2 linked regions of the Caenorhabditis elegans genome follow. The protein of the gene in region 1 purifies or fractionates together with the protein of each later gene. This does not show direct contact. Each region holds a gene or a part of one and is shown on either strand. Other genes may lie near its edges. The genes, in order: aat-1 and atgp-2.

Evidence for each region.
Region 2: the proteins of aat-1 (region 1) and atgp-2 purify together in Caenorhabditis elegans (co-purification; one study listed by BioGRID). This does not show direct contact.

The regions. Positions count from the first base shown.
Region 1 is NC_003282.8:9,598,604-9,603,490, forward strand, and holds aat-1 (Large neutral amino acids transporter small subunit 1), read right to left. Parts: upstream 3,093-4,887; 5' UTR 3,092-3,092; coding exon 2,914-3,091; intron 2,743-2,913; coding exon 2,437-2,742; intron 2,351-2,436; coding exon 2,225-2,350; intron 2,178-2,224; coding exon 2,024-2,177; intron 1,907-2,023; exon of another isoform or gene 1,886-1,906; intron 1,790-1,885; coding exon 1,399-1,789; intron 1,271-1,398; coding exon 1,099-1,270; intron 1,051-1,098; coding exon 958-1,050; intron 893-957; coding exon 831-892; 3' UTR 575-830; downstream 1-574. Other genes in the region: F27C8.2 (N-acetyltransferase domain-containing protein), read left to right, coding at 1-76.
Region 2 is NC_003280.10:14,639,306-14,645,839, forward strand, and holds atgp-2 (Glycosyl hydrolase family 13 catalytic domain-containing protein), read right to left. Parts: upstream 4,779-6,534; 5' UTR 4,770-4,778; coding exon 4,720-4,769; intron 4,437-4,719; coding exon 4,197-4,436; intron 3,790-4,196; coding exon 3,428-3,789; intron 3,382-3,427; coding exon 3,196-3,381; intron 3,149-3,195; coding exon 2,905-3,148; intron 2,861-2,904; coding exon 2,748-2,860; intron 2,700-2,747; coding exon 2,593-2,699; intron 2,311-2,592; exon of another isoform or gene 2,009-2,310; intron 1,904-2,008; coding exon 1,469-1,903; intron 1,414-1,468; coding exon 1,324-1,413; intron 1,187-1,323; coding exon 1,070-1,186; 3' UTR 793-1,069; downstream 1-792.

The sequences.
Region 1 (4,887 bases):
TTCCAATTTTCAGTTACCGGCAATTAATCATGATATGATTTTTGCAGCTTCTGATCCAACTGTTTTTCTATGTTAAATGGTGTAATTCCATTGTTGACACCACTAAACATTCAAAAAAAAATTCTGTTTCACCTTTCCCATAAGTACCAACAATGTATTGTTACGATAGTATGTGAAGTTTTGGTGTTACACAATATTCAAATGTTTTCTGATTCATTATTTGTTAGTATAGCCAAGTATTAAACTCTCCCATTCGAATTTTAAAATATTTCTGATCAATTTCTTCAAAAAACGAAAATTCGGAAAAATATATATATACTGTTTCAACTTTTCAATAAGTGCCAACAGTTTTAGATTTTTTTAGTGTGTCAGTTTTATTGTGGAATTTTTATTTGCATATAATTATATCAATGTATTGAACATTTCTGCAGATACAAAGCTGTGAAGTTACAAAGCTATCCACCATAAAATGCATTACTTGTTTAAATTATTTTTCTCTTTTCAGAAAACAGCTAACTTTGATACTATTTTCTTGAAAGGAACTCAATTGCTGTTTGAATAAACATTTCAGAATAATCACTGAAATAAATTTATTTCACGATATTTCACGAAAAATTAAAAGAAAAAAGAGAATTAAAGCCTCGTCGAAACTGTGAATGTATTTTTTGTGTTTGATTGAATTTAATGATAAAATGATGATGTTCGGATGACAAAGTGAAACAAAAACGCAGATAAAAAGAATACTGGTGGATTGTGGAAGTTTTGAAAAATTGAATTTTGACAAATGAAATAAAAAGAAACCCGAGACCGAAAGTTGAACTTTAGAAATTCTAATCCTCCTTATCCTCGTCGACAACCATGAATAGCTTTTGAATGAAAACAGTTGAGCTGTCTGAAATACGGTACAATTGACAAGTTGAAAATGAAGAAAAAAAACATTTGTTGAAAATTACTTACCAATGAATTCATTGAACCATTTTGGCTTGTTTTTCCATCCGATGAAAATTCCGTAGACGGGGACAGCGGAAAGCATGATAAGTAGACCAATTCCTGTAATAAATTCAAATTTTTATTCTCTTTCTGAAATTGGAAACTAACCCGTATCTCTTGGAGCAGCTACCATTGGAATAAGAACAAGAGCGATACATCCAGCAAGGAAAATAGCTGGCCAAATGAGTGGAACTTTAATTGGTCTTGATGCATCTGGCATGGTTCTACGAAGCCAGAAGAGTGCGGCAATGGCTGTTCCGATTGCAAGCCAGTAACTGATCTAGAAAATGAAAGTTTCTTGTTCGAGAACATGCATATTTTTTGAAGCTTGAATTCAAGCTTCTAAAATTGATGCTTCAAGAAACTCAGTACCGGGAAATATTAAAAAAAAAAAGCTATCACACTTACTTGAATATAATTAATCAATTGATACACATCCTTTGATGCCAACAAGTAAGCAATAGAAAGAGCTCCGGTAAGAATAACAGCGGGAATCGGTGTTTTCGTTTTTTTATTAATCATTGTCAATACAGCTGGCATTTGTCCTTCACGAGCACCGGAATAAAAAAGTCTCGCTGAAGTGAAAATAACTCCATTAGCTGATCCAATTGTGGAACATGCAACACAGAGTGGCATAATAAATGCGAATTTTCCATAGAGTTTATTGGCGAAAAGTACCGCTACAGCCGGGGATTCGAGCATTTCATCTGGTGAAATTGCTGTGTAGAGAGCCACATTAGTTAGCACGTAGATTACGGTACAGGATGTGATAGAGATGGCAATTGCGAGTGGAAGGTTTCTGAAAATTATGGTATAAGAAAATAAATAATATATCGTTAAATTTTTTTTACTGTTTCATAATGCAATTAGAACCTAAAATAATTTGCTAGATTAATTGACAAGTATTCTACAACAGATTAAAGTAGACCAATAAACTACTCATAGTCAGCTCTGAAACTTTAAATAAAAACAATTGGAATGTAAAAACTGTGTTAATGTGTTTCATGTAAACTATACAATCACTGAAACTTACCGTTTTGGGTTCTGCAACTCCTCGACGATGAAATTCAAGAAATTCCATCCAGAATAAGCGAATAATCCAGAGTAGAAAGCAAGTGAAACTTTTGTAAAATCTTGAGATGTATTCTCAAAAATATTCTCGAATGAGTCCTTGTACTGAGATTCACCTGAAATTTTTTATATTTTCTAAATACAGAATAGCTTAAGTGCTCACCAAAGAAAAGGAGACCAAGTCCGGTTAAAATGATAAGACACAGAGCAACAACCTTTGCAATAGTAAACCAATCCTGAACAATTGTTGCCAACCGAACAGAAATACAGTTGATTGCAGTCATCAGAACTGAAACGTAACGGTTATTAAATATACATATAGTTATGTAGATACATTTTGTAAAAAAATTTCAGTTAAAAAAAAGAATCACATACCAATTAACAAAATCGCGAGAAGCTCAGCGACTACATCTGGTGGGGCACAATCAGGGAAAAATGGTCGCAGTCCGTAAATGGCGAAAGTGAGTGCAACAATAGTCACAGTACATGGTCGGACTACGATAGCCTCAATCCAAAGACGAATAAATGCAACAAATGGTCCAAATGCTTCCATAATATATGCATAATCTCCTCCTGATTTCTTGATAAGAGTTCCCAGTTCTGCATAACAATATGCGCCAATTGCTGTGAAAATACCGGAGATGAGCCAAACAATAAGAGAGAGTCCAACTGATCCGGCTTCTGAAAGTAAATGAAATTTTGGAAAGTACGTAGTTTATTTCAAATACATCAAATACATCAACTACATTTTTCGTTTTTTCGAGTATTTTTCCCAAACAGCTTTCAAAAAAATTTTTTTTTAATAGGCGACTTTTGAATAAACAACTTTCACTTGAAAAATTATCAACTCACGTTCTTGCACTCCAGTTGGTGATACAAAAATGCCAGATCCAATAATGCATCCAACAATCATTGAAACTCCATTGAATAGTGTCAAACTCTTTTCAAGACCTTTTCCTTTTCCTTCTGTTTCATTTTGTGGTGCCTCATCTCCTTCTCTCGATTTTAACGGCTCCTTTTCAGCTGTCATCCTGAAAAATAAGTAATATTTTCACGTAAGACGGAGCCAGTAGAAAAAAAGTGTTGAAAAAACGGGTACAATTTTATATGAAGGGTATATTTCTTAATCTTTCCTGAAACATTTTTGGCATGCCAAAATAATATCGAAGAGAACAATAAAACCAAAAAGTTAGATAACATTTAAAAAAAATTCAATTTTTTTACAAATGGGTAACTATGAGCTAATTTTTCAACGCGGAATGAACTAGTCAGTAAACTTTCGAGAAACGTGAGCTCTGTCTAAATGTGCCAAATCTGAAAAATGATGACAATTTAGAAGAAGTGCTGACAAAATATCGCCTGAAAAAGAGAGGCGGATTTGTGACCAACTAGATTTTTTTATTTAAAAAAAAGAATGACTGAAGGATATAAGGACACAGAAAAGCACAAAAAAAGAAGTGACCGCGCAATGTTTTGCTATTACATCAGCCAAAAAGGAGCTAGCAGTGAAAAGCAGAAAACTCTTTTTCGGGGGAAATCATATTGGAAATCGAAAGAAAAAGAATATGAATTTTTCATGTCGGTCAGCAGAAAGTGGAGAGAACACGTAATCGAAATGATAAGAAATACTAGAATAACATAGCGGAAAATTGGATGAAAATATTATGAATAGAGTGAGGCAGTGGGAGAGATGAAGAGACAAAGACATTTGAGGGAAAGGGTCAGTTCTATTTGTTTATGTACTGATAAGTAATCGAAAAAAATGTATAGATGTTTTATTTCGACAAATGGAAAAGCTCAACAGGATTTTCGCAGATTGACAATTCACCTAACCTCTATTTTTTAGCCCAGAAAATCAAACTAAAGTTCGGAAAATAAGAAAAAAAACCAACGCATTTACAAACGAAACAACGCGTCAAATACACCGAAAAACTCTGTAAACAACGAAGAGTACAAAACTTTTCAAAAAATCTGTGAAAAAATGTGGAGAAACAGAACAAAGTGAGAATAAATGGAAAGTGAAGAGTCGGAAGAGGCAAAGAGAAGGGTCGTGTGAATGCAATGCTCACCATGAACCAAAAGGGAAAAATAAAACGAGATGAAACCAAAGAAGTGAGGGAAATCGGCATAACGTGGAAGTTACAAAAATGAGCTATGGGACCAATGATACATTAAGAAATATTTATGTGACTTTCAATATTGTCAAAGCTAACTTAATAATTTTTTTTGAAATCTCTTAAAATCAACATGGAAATTAGAACCAAAAAGATACAAATATTTGAACAAATTAAATTTGGAGCGTTTTAATTAATTATTGTTTAATAGAGTCTGTAGCTGGAAATTGAGTACTACAATAGAAATAGTAGATTACAAATGAAGCAACTTGTAAGTTTTTCAATTATGAAAAAACAATCAAAGCTTCTTATTTTGTGTTGCGCTCCTCAATCAAAAATAAGTCTTGAATATACAAATAATAAGAAAATTCCCATAATTAAGTGTATTCTATTAGTTAAAACAACATCGGTGTCGTTTTTAAACTTTTTTTTATGAAAAAAAGTAGTTCCGCATGGATGCAAAGTTGGAAGCAAAACAAAAAAGCGTGAAAATAAAATAAACATAAATAAACAAAACTCTCCGAATTTCTCTCTCTCTCCATCTCTTTTCCTCTTTGTTCATCGTCCGCATCCAAATTTTTGAATAGTTTGCATGAAACACAACACAACAAGGCAATAAATTAGGGGTCACCTCTTACTTGACACATCGGAAGAAACATTGATAAAATCAATCGGACGTTCCATAGAATGAGAACAGGAAATGCAATTATGA
Region 2 (6,534 bases), on another chromosome or scaffold:
TGATCAAACTTCAATTTAAGCATAGCTGAAAAATTGATAAAATTGAATTATTATACATTCAATTTGCTAAAATCGTGATTTTTTGGCAATTCAAACTATGAATAGGCAAGGAAATAAATGTAGATCGAACATTTTTTTAATAATCACTATAATACACAATCTGAAAAGTCAGAGAAAAAAAATGTGTGTTTGAAATGTTAATGAGAGAAAATTAGCCAACAATGCGTAAAGATTTGGAAGTTACCTGATTTTCATCAGTTCTCAAATCATAAACTACGCAATATGCAAAATTCTTTTAACACTATACCCAAAAATGCCGGCCTGCATTCAAGACAACCTGGTTGGAAGGGATGAGGCAGTTTTGTGCAATAATAACAATAAAAAAAATAATTATTATAAAAATTGAAGAATCATAGAGAACTATGTTATATTTAATACGCATTTTAATGACTTTTTATACCCTATTTTCATAGCTGTTAACCCGGCTGCCAATCAATTAAAATGCTAAAACTCATACATCAAAAAGTTACTAAGACATCTGTTTTAACCAGCTTTAATCACTTTTTTCTGTGTCTAATTTTATGATTGATTTGCATAATATTACTAATGGCATATGCAAAGCACAAACTTCATTGGAGAGCGTAGAAAAAAGTAAGGTCGAAAAATAACCTATTGTTGATTAAAAGTCGTATGTCGAACGAAAAAGGCAGACAGGCAGGCACGGCGTGCATTCTTGCCATAAAAGCCCTAAGCTCAATTTTTTGTTGCATTGCAGCACGTGGCTTTCAACAATAATTGTATATTTTATTATAAAAATTTAATTTTTAAAATTAACAATTCACGCGGGGCGGATATGTCACACCATATAAATAAGTAGCGGGGATTTGAGAAATTCGAAGAAAAGAAAGAGGAAAAAACGAAGGTATGCACCATTGTTGACAGGGAAAACGAAAGCAATCGGGGGCCGAGGTAACATAGAAAAATTGAAAATTACAAAAAAATTGGTTCTAAGAGTTTTGTTCTGACACATATTATTGGAAAACCTTGCATAACAAGATGAATTAGATAATCATGCTGAATAGCGGAACACGACGCCTTCATTTGGTTCCAATTCGATTTCCTTTAAGCCAAAGTCTACTGTCTGACGTGCGTAGTAGGCGACACAGTTGGATGTGGCGGTGACTATCTGCAATTCGGAAATTGAATGTGCATCGATATTGCATGTGTGTTACTAATTCATAATAGGGGAGTTGCTTTTTCTATGAATAACAAAAAGAAGGTAACAAGTGTTGGCAGTTTTTTTTATAAATTTCGAAAACTCACTGTAGATTTATGCAATTTTGAGTTGCTTGGCAAGTCTGTCAGTGGAAGTTTTACTGGATGCTCGGCAAAGTTGAGAGCGGCTACGTAGATCTGAACTTTTCATAATTTTTGAAAAATTTCCCTATGATATAAGAAAAAAACTCACATTTCCAGTAGTTCTATTTTCAAAATTATTGAATCTCGTAATCGTGAATGCTCCATCAACTAGTCGCCCAATCAGCGTGGTTCCAGTCATCAGTGCATCTTCTCTCTGTCTCAATTTCGCCAGTTTCGCGAAAATCTTCAATGTTGACTGAGGCTCAGCGTATTGCCGTTTCCAGTTAATATTCGCCACGTCGATATTTGACGGAACCGGCGGACTGATGGCTGATGTGAATCCTCCGTTCAACGAGTCATCCCATTGCATCGCACCCTTCTGTGGTGGGACTCTGGAGTCATTCGCCAGATTTCGCATGCCGATTTCCTCACCGTAGTAGATATTGTTAGTTCCAGGTAGAATCATTTGGAGAACCATCAGGAGTTGTGCATGTGGACGGGATCCGACACGGGACGCAATTCGAGCCAGGTCCGGGGAGCCGAACTGAAAATGTTAGAAAGTTTTTTTTCAAAATAATTAAAACGATTTGACTCCCGGAAATTTTTCTTTGGTAATGTTTCATGCTTACTTCCTCAAATAATACACGGCAAAAAAAATTTTGACAACTCCTAACAAGCGGAGCTCACATCGGCGGTGCTCAGATAATTTTGAATTTGTCTAACCTAGGGGGAGTGAGGCCTGTAACGTGACAGAACCCACCAGGACTGGATGAATCTATCCACCGGATAGCCAGTCAGTGGGAAACCTCTGATCGAGGGAGCTCTAGGACCGTGGCATCATCACGAGCCGAACGGGAGCTCCCGGTCCTCGTCATGGTTTGATTCAATCTAAAGTTCGTCAACTATTTTATAGCGAGATCAATCTAGACCGAAATACGTACGAGCACCGCCGAGTACGTTCAAAACCGACGGTCGTTATAAAGGGGAGGGTAGACGTGCGGCCGACACCTTGCGGGTTTCGCCTGCCACTAGGTTTTGTGTATGTGTCTCCGCCTTCTCAAGGTGGTAACGGGCCTATTTTATAGATTTTTCTTGTGTTGTCCCATATGAATTGTTGGGGAAATTATTTCAATTTACAATAAAATGACTAAAATTCGAATTTCTAAATTTAAGTTAGTCTAAATCGCCGCCACGATTTCACAATCTTTTCTCCAAAAGCCCCACAAAACTTACTCTCCAATGAGGCCAAACTTGCTCGTTCAACGAATGGAACAGCAGGACGTCGGACAGAATCTCGTGAACACAAGTGGCAACTGATCCCTCGTTCTTGTGACAAATCTCTGCAATGAACTTGTACCTATTAGTTTTCAGGTACGATAAGAACTCACTAGTGTCCTTCTCAACTTCTCCCAACTCGTAGTTGATGACTGTGTCCATCCCACTCTTTGCCATACGCTTCTTGTCCTTCTCCTTCGCTTCTTCTCTGGTAGAGAATAAGGCGCTGAAATTTCAACTTTAAAAAATTAAGTTTTCTTTCTGACAAACATTTTCTTTCCATCGGCAATTGTACTCTCGTTCGAGTAGGAATCCACATGGAATCTAATATCCCTTATGACGTCATAAATTGAGTTCCAGTCAGGTTCTGTACCATTTGGCGTTCTTGCAAGGTACTCGATTCCTTGAAGCTCAAATCCATCGACTCCGCGGTCAATCCAGTTGGAAAGAGCATTAAACATGTGCTCACGGAGATTACTGTTCTGCCAGTTTAGTACAGCGGATTTTGGATTTCCTGAAACTAGTAGTAGAACTGTTTTTCTTAATGATGAAATTCAATACCTTTCTCATGAAGATAGAAGAGATTCTTGTGCTCTGTGAAAAAGTTGGAGTCTGCCGCCTTGCTGACCCAAGTATAGAACTGCGAATAGTTGGCATTTGGTGTCTTGCTTGCCGTCGCTGAGTTCAAGAACCATTCGTGTTCTAGTGAGGTGGTGGCAATAGGGAAACTTATTACAATATTCATTTCTGCAAAATTTTCTGGCCTATGAAGTTATGTAAAGTTTACGATTACCTTTCTCATGAATCTTGTTGATAAGCTCATCAGCCTTCTGATTCACACCAATTTTTGGGTCCATTTGACTGAAACTTCTTACAGCCGTCTTCTCATCATCCGATATTAAGAACGGAGAAGGCCACACTGTTTGAACTCCGGACTTTCTCAATTGATCGAGTCGATTAATAAGTCCATCGACGTCTCCTACACCATCACCATCTGAATCCTGGAAGGACGGTACCCAGACGTGATAGGCTACGGCTGTCTGCCACCAGTTGGGCTTTGCGCGTAGGACGCAGGTTGGGGAGAAGCAGACCAGGAGAATTGCAACCGCGAAAAGAGCAAGCCAAATGAGCCAGAAGAGCACAAAAAGGACGGTTCTGAAAATATTGGATTCTTGATTTCAAACACTAAAATCTCGCAACAACTTTTGAAAACTTTGAAGGTTGTTTAGCTACTGTACTCCATACAACGTACTTTTAATTTTTTTTTTCACCACGTGTCTTCCATCCTTAAACGAAAATATTGGCGCAGAGCCAAGTAAATAACGAAGTAAATAACGAAGATCAATTGTTTGAGTTACTGATTAAGCACCCACTCAGTCGGCATGGCTTTTATTTTTTAGTTTAGGTATGTGTTTAGTGTAGGACCATTCAAAATAAATGCGCACAATTATTTTCATTTCTAGTATTACAGGCGGCAGGCACAAAATGTATTCCCTTTCCTGCTTAATGCCTACTGCCAAAGTAACACTGGCAGAAAATTCAAGTTATAAAAAATCAATTACCTAATAAACTTCCAGCAAGGATCATTTCTAAACTGCTCCAACTCTTGTTCGCTCAACCCGATTTGATCAGTATTTTTAGGATTAGTGGGAGCCGGTGGTCGTTCCCAAGACTTTTGTGGAGGTGCTTCTTCTTGTTCTTGTCGTTTTTCCTTCCGCATAATGTGTTCGGGCACTACGGGGTTTCCAGAGACCGCACTAATGTAGCTTTCAGTTTTGTTGCCACGGTCTACTTCGTAAAACCTGGAAATTTATTATCGAATTTTTACTTAAATTTTATGATTAGTTTTTTAACTGAAAAATGCACTAGAAGTAAGAATAGAAGATTTGCGCATTCCTTAACTTGCTAGCAAAATAATAAGAAAATGAAGAAAAATGAATGGGTATTTCGGCAGACTGCACAGCAGACTGAATAGAAAAATTGAACCTAAAGAACAAAGATGATTTGCAGTTTTCTTATCATTTTAATTTTCTAGAAAGGACATTCCAAACGACCCAGATCATCCCATTTATCGCTTGTACTAACCTTGGTGTCTTGCCCTCGGGACCCGGCATTAGCCGGTCGGTGGCGTCCATTTTGACTGTCTGCAAAAAATGATAACGTTCAGTGAACTTGGGAACAAAGAACAATGATTAAAACAAGAAGGTTTTGACGGAATTTCAGGAAATTGAAAAATGTAAGTCACAGGAAAAAAATAATTCTAGAAACTTTACTGCAAAAAGCCAAAGGTATAGGTGCGGCATAATTTTGGCCGCGGAGTTTTTTTTTCAAAAATGAGTTAAAATGGTATAAGCATAGATGCAAAAGTTTTGGGTACAATAAAAAAATTAATAATACGTTATTAAACTTTTTGTGTTTTCCTAAAGATATTCTTACTAAAAATTATGAAGGACACAAAATTTTAGCTAACCAAAAAGCAGAGCCATACAATTTTTCACGAAAACCTGAACTAAAAGATTTAGCAAAAAATCCAGGAAACACGTAAACGTACAACAAGGGAAAAAAATAAGAAAAAGTCGTTTAAAAGTCAAGAGAAATACGAGAAAGGAGAAAAAGAAGAAGAAGCTCACTTTCGGCTTTTTTTCTCTATTCTATAGAGGTCCCAATAGAATTCAGAGGGAGAAGGAAGATGGGCTAATGAATATAGGATTAGGATGCAGAATAGACAATTCCCACCAGATGAGAGCATACCAATTTTATTCACTGTGTATATTATAAACAAATTTATTGAGTAATATGGATTTTGTGTGGCATATTGAAGTTTTGAAAATTGAAATGTTTGTTTTTGAAATTAAGATTTTTTTTTGATAAATTTTGGTAATTAATTGGAAACTGTTTCCATTTTTTTATGAGAAAAAATTTAAAAAAATAATATAGAATGTTGAGAAAAATTTGGTCAAAAATTCCCAAAAAATGCTCAAAATTATCTAAACCCTACTTATTACCTATTTACAAATTGAGTCTCAAAAGATCTACAAAAAATCTTAGGATAATTATCATCAGAAGAATCTTGCAAATTACAGTACAGAAGCAAAAAGCTTCAATTAAAACTAAAAATCTTCAGAATTGAACACACGAAGTTTTTTTTAAAATCTTATCAACAAAAGTTTCAATTTATAAAAAATATAGTAACTAAAAAGTCATTAAAATGGAAAAAGTGTAAGGTTACAAAACTGAAGTTTTTTCAAAATCAAAAGCGTGAAACTGTGGTCGTATCAAAATCCCCTTGAACATCACCTAGGTTTTCAAGTGGTATAGGTATACAAAAAAGAGTTAAGTAACCCGATATTTCACTCTCGCCGCGCCGCGCGGTATCGGTGACTTGTCAAAGGAGGACGAACGACACGAGAAAAAGTGTAACTAAGCATTCAAAGAGCCACTCATCAACACATGTCCACCTTAATCTCAACAGCAGGTCAATTTTTGAGGAAGATTGATCGAGAAGTTGCAAAAAAAATGAAGAAAACAAGCGTGAAAAATTTGCCGATTTTTCAAAGGAGAAGGCGAATCCTCACTATTTGTTGACTAACCGCTAGGGAGCAAAGGAATAGCTTAGACGCAGGGAAAAAAGAGAACGAATTTGAAAGGAGACGTTGTTGCGAAAACGGGTAGGGAGAGGGAGTTGGTGAAGAGACGCAGAGGCTTTGAGCGACGATGAAAGAGATGAAAACAAAACAATAACTACTGGGAAAGACATGAATTGGAAGAAGAAGTGTGTTTGGTTGAAGGTTAACTGAGAAGTAAAGTTAGCTAGGGAAAAGGTTTTCATATTCCAATTCTCTTCAAAACTTCAAAACAAGTTTCAATTTTACTTACAAACTTCAAGACTGAAATTTTCAT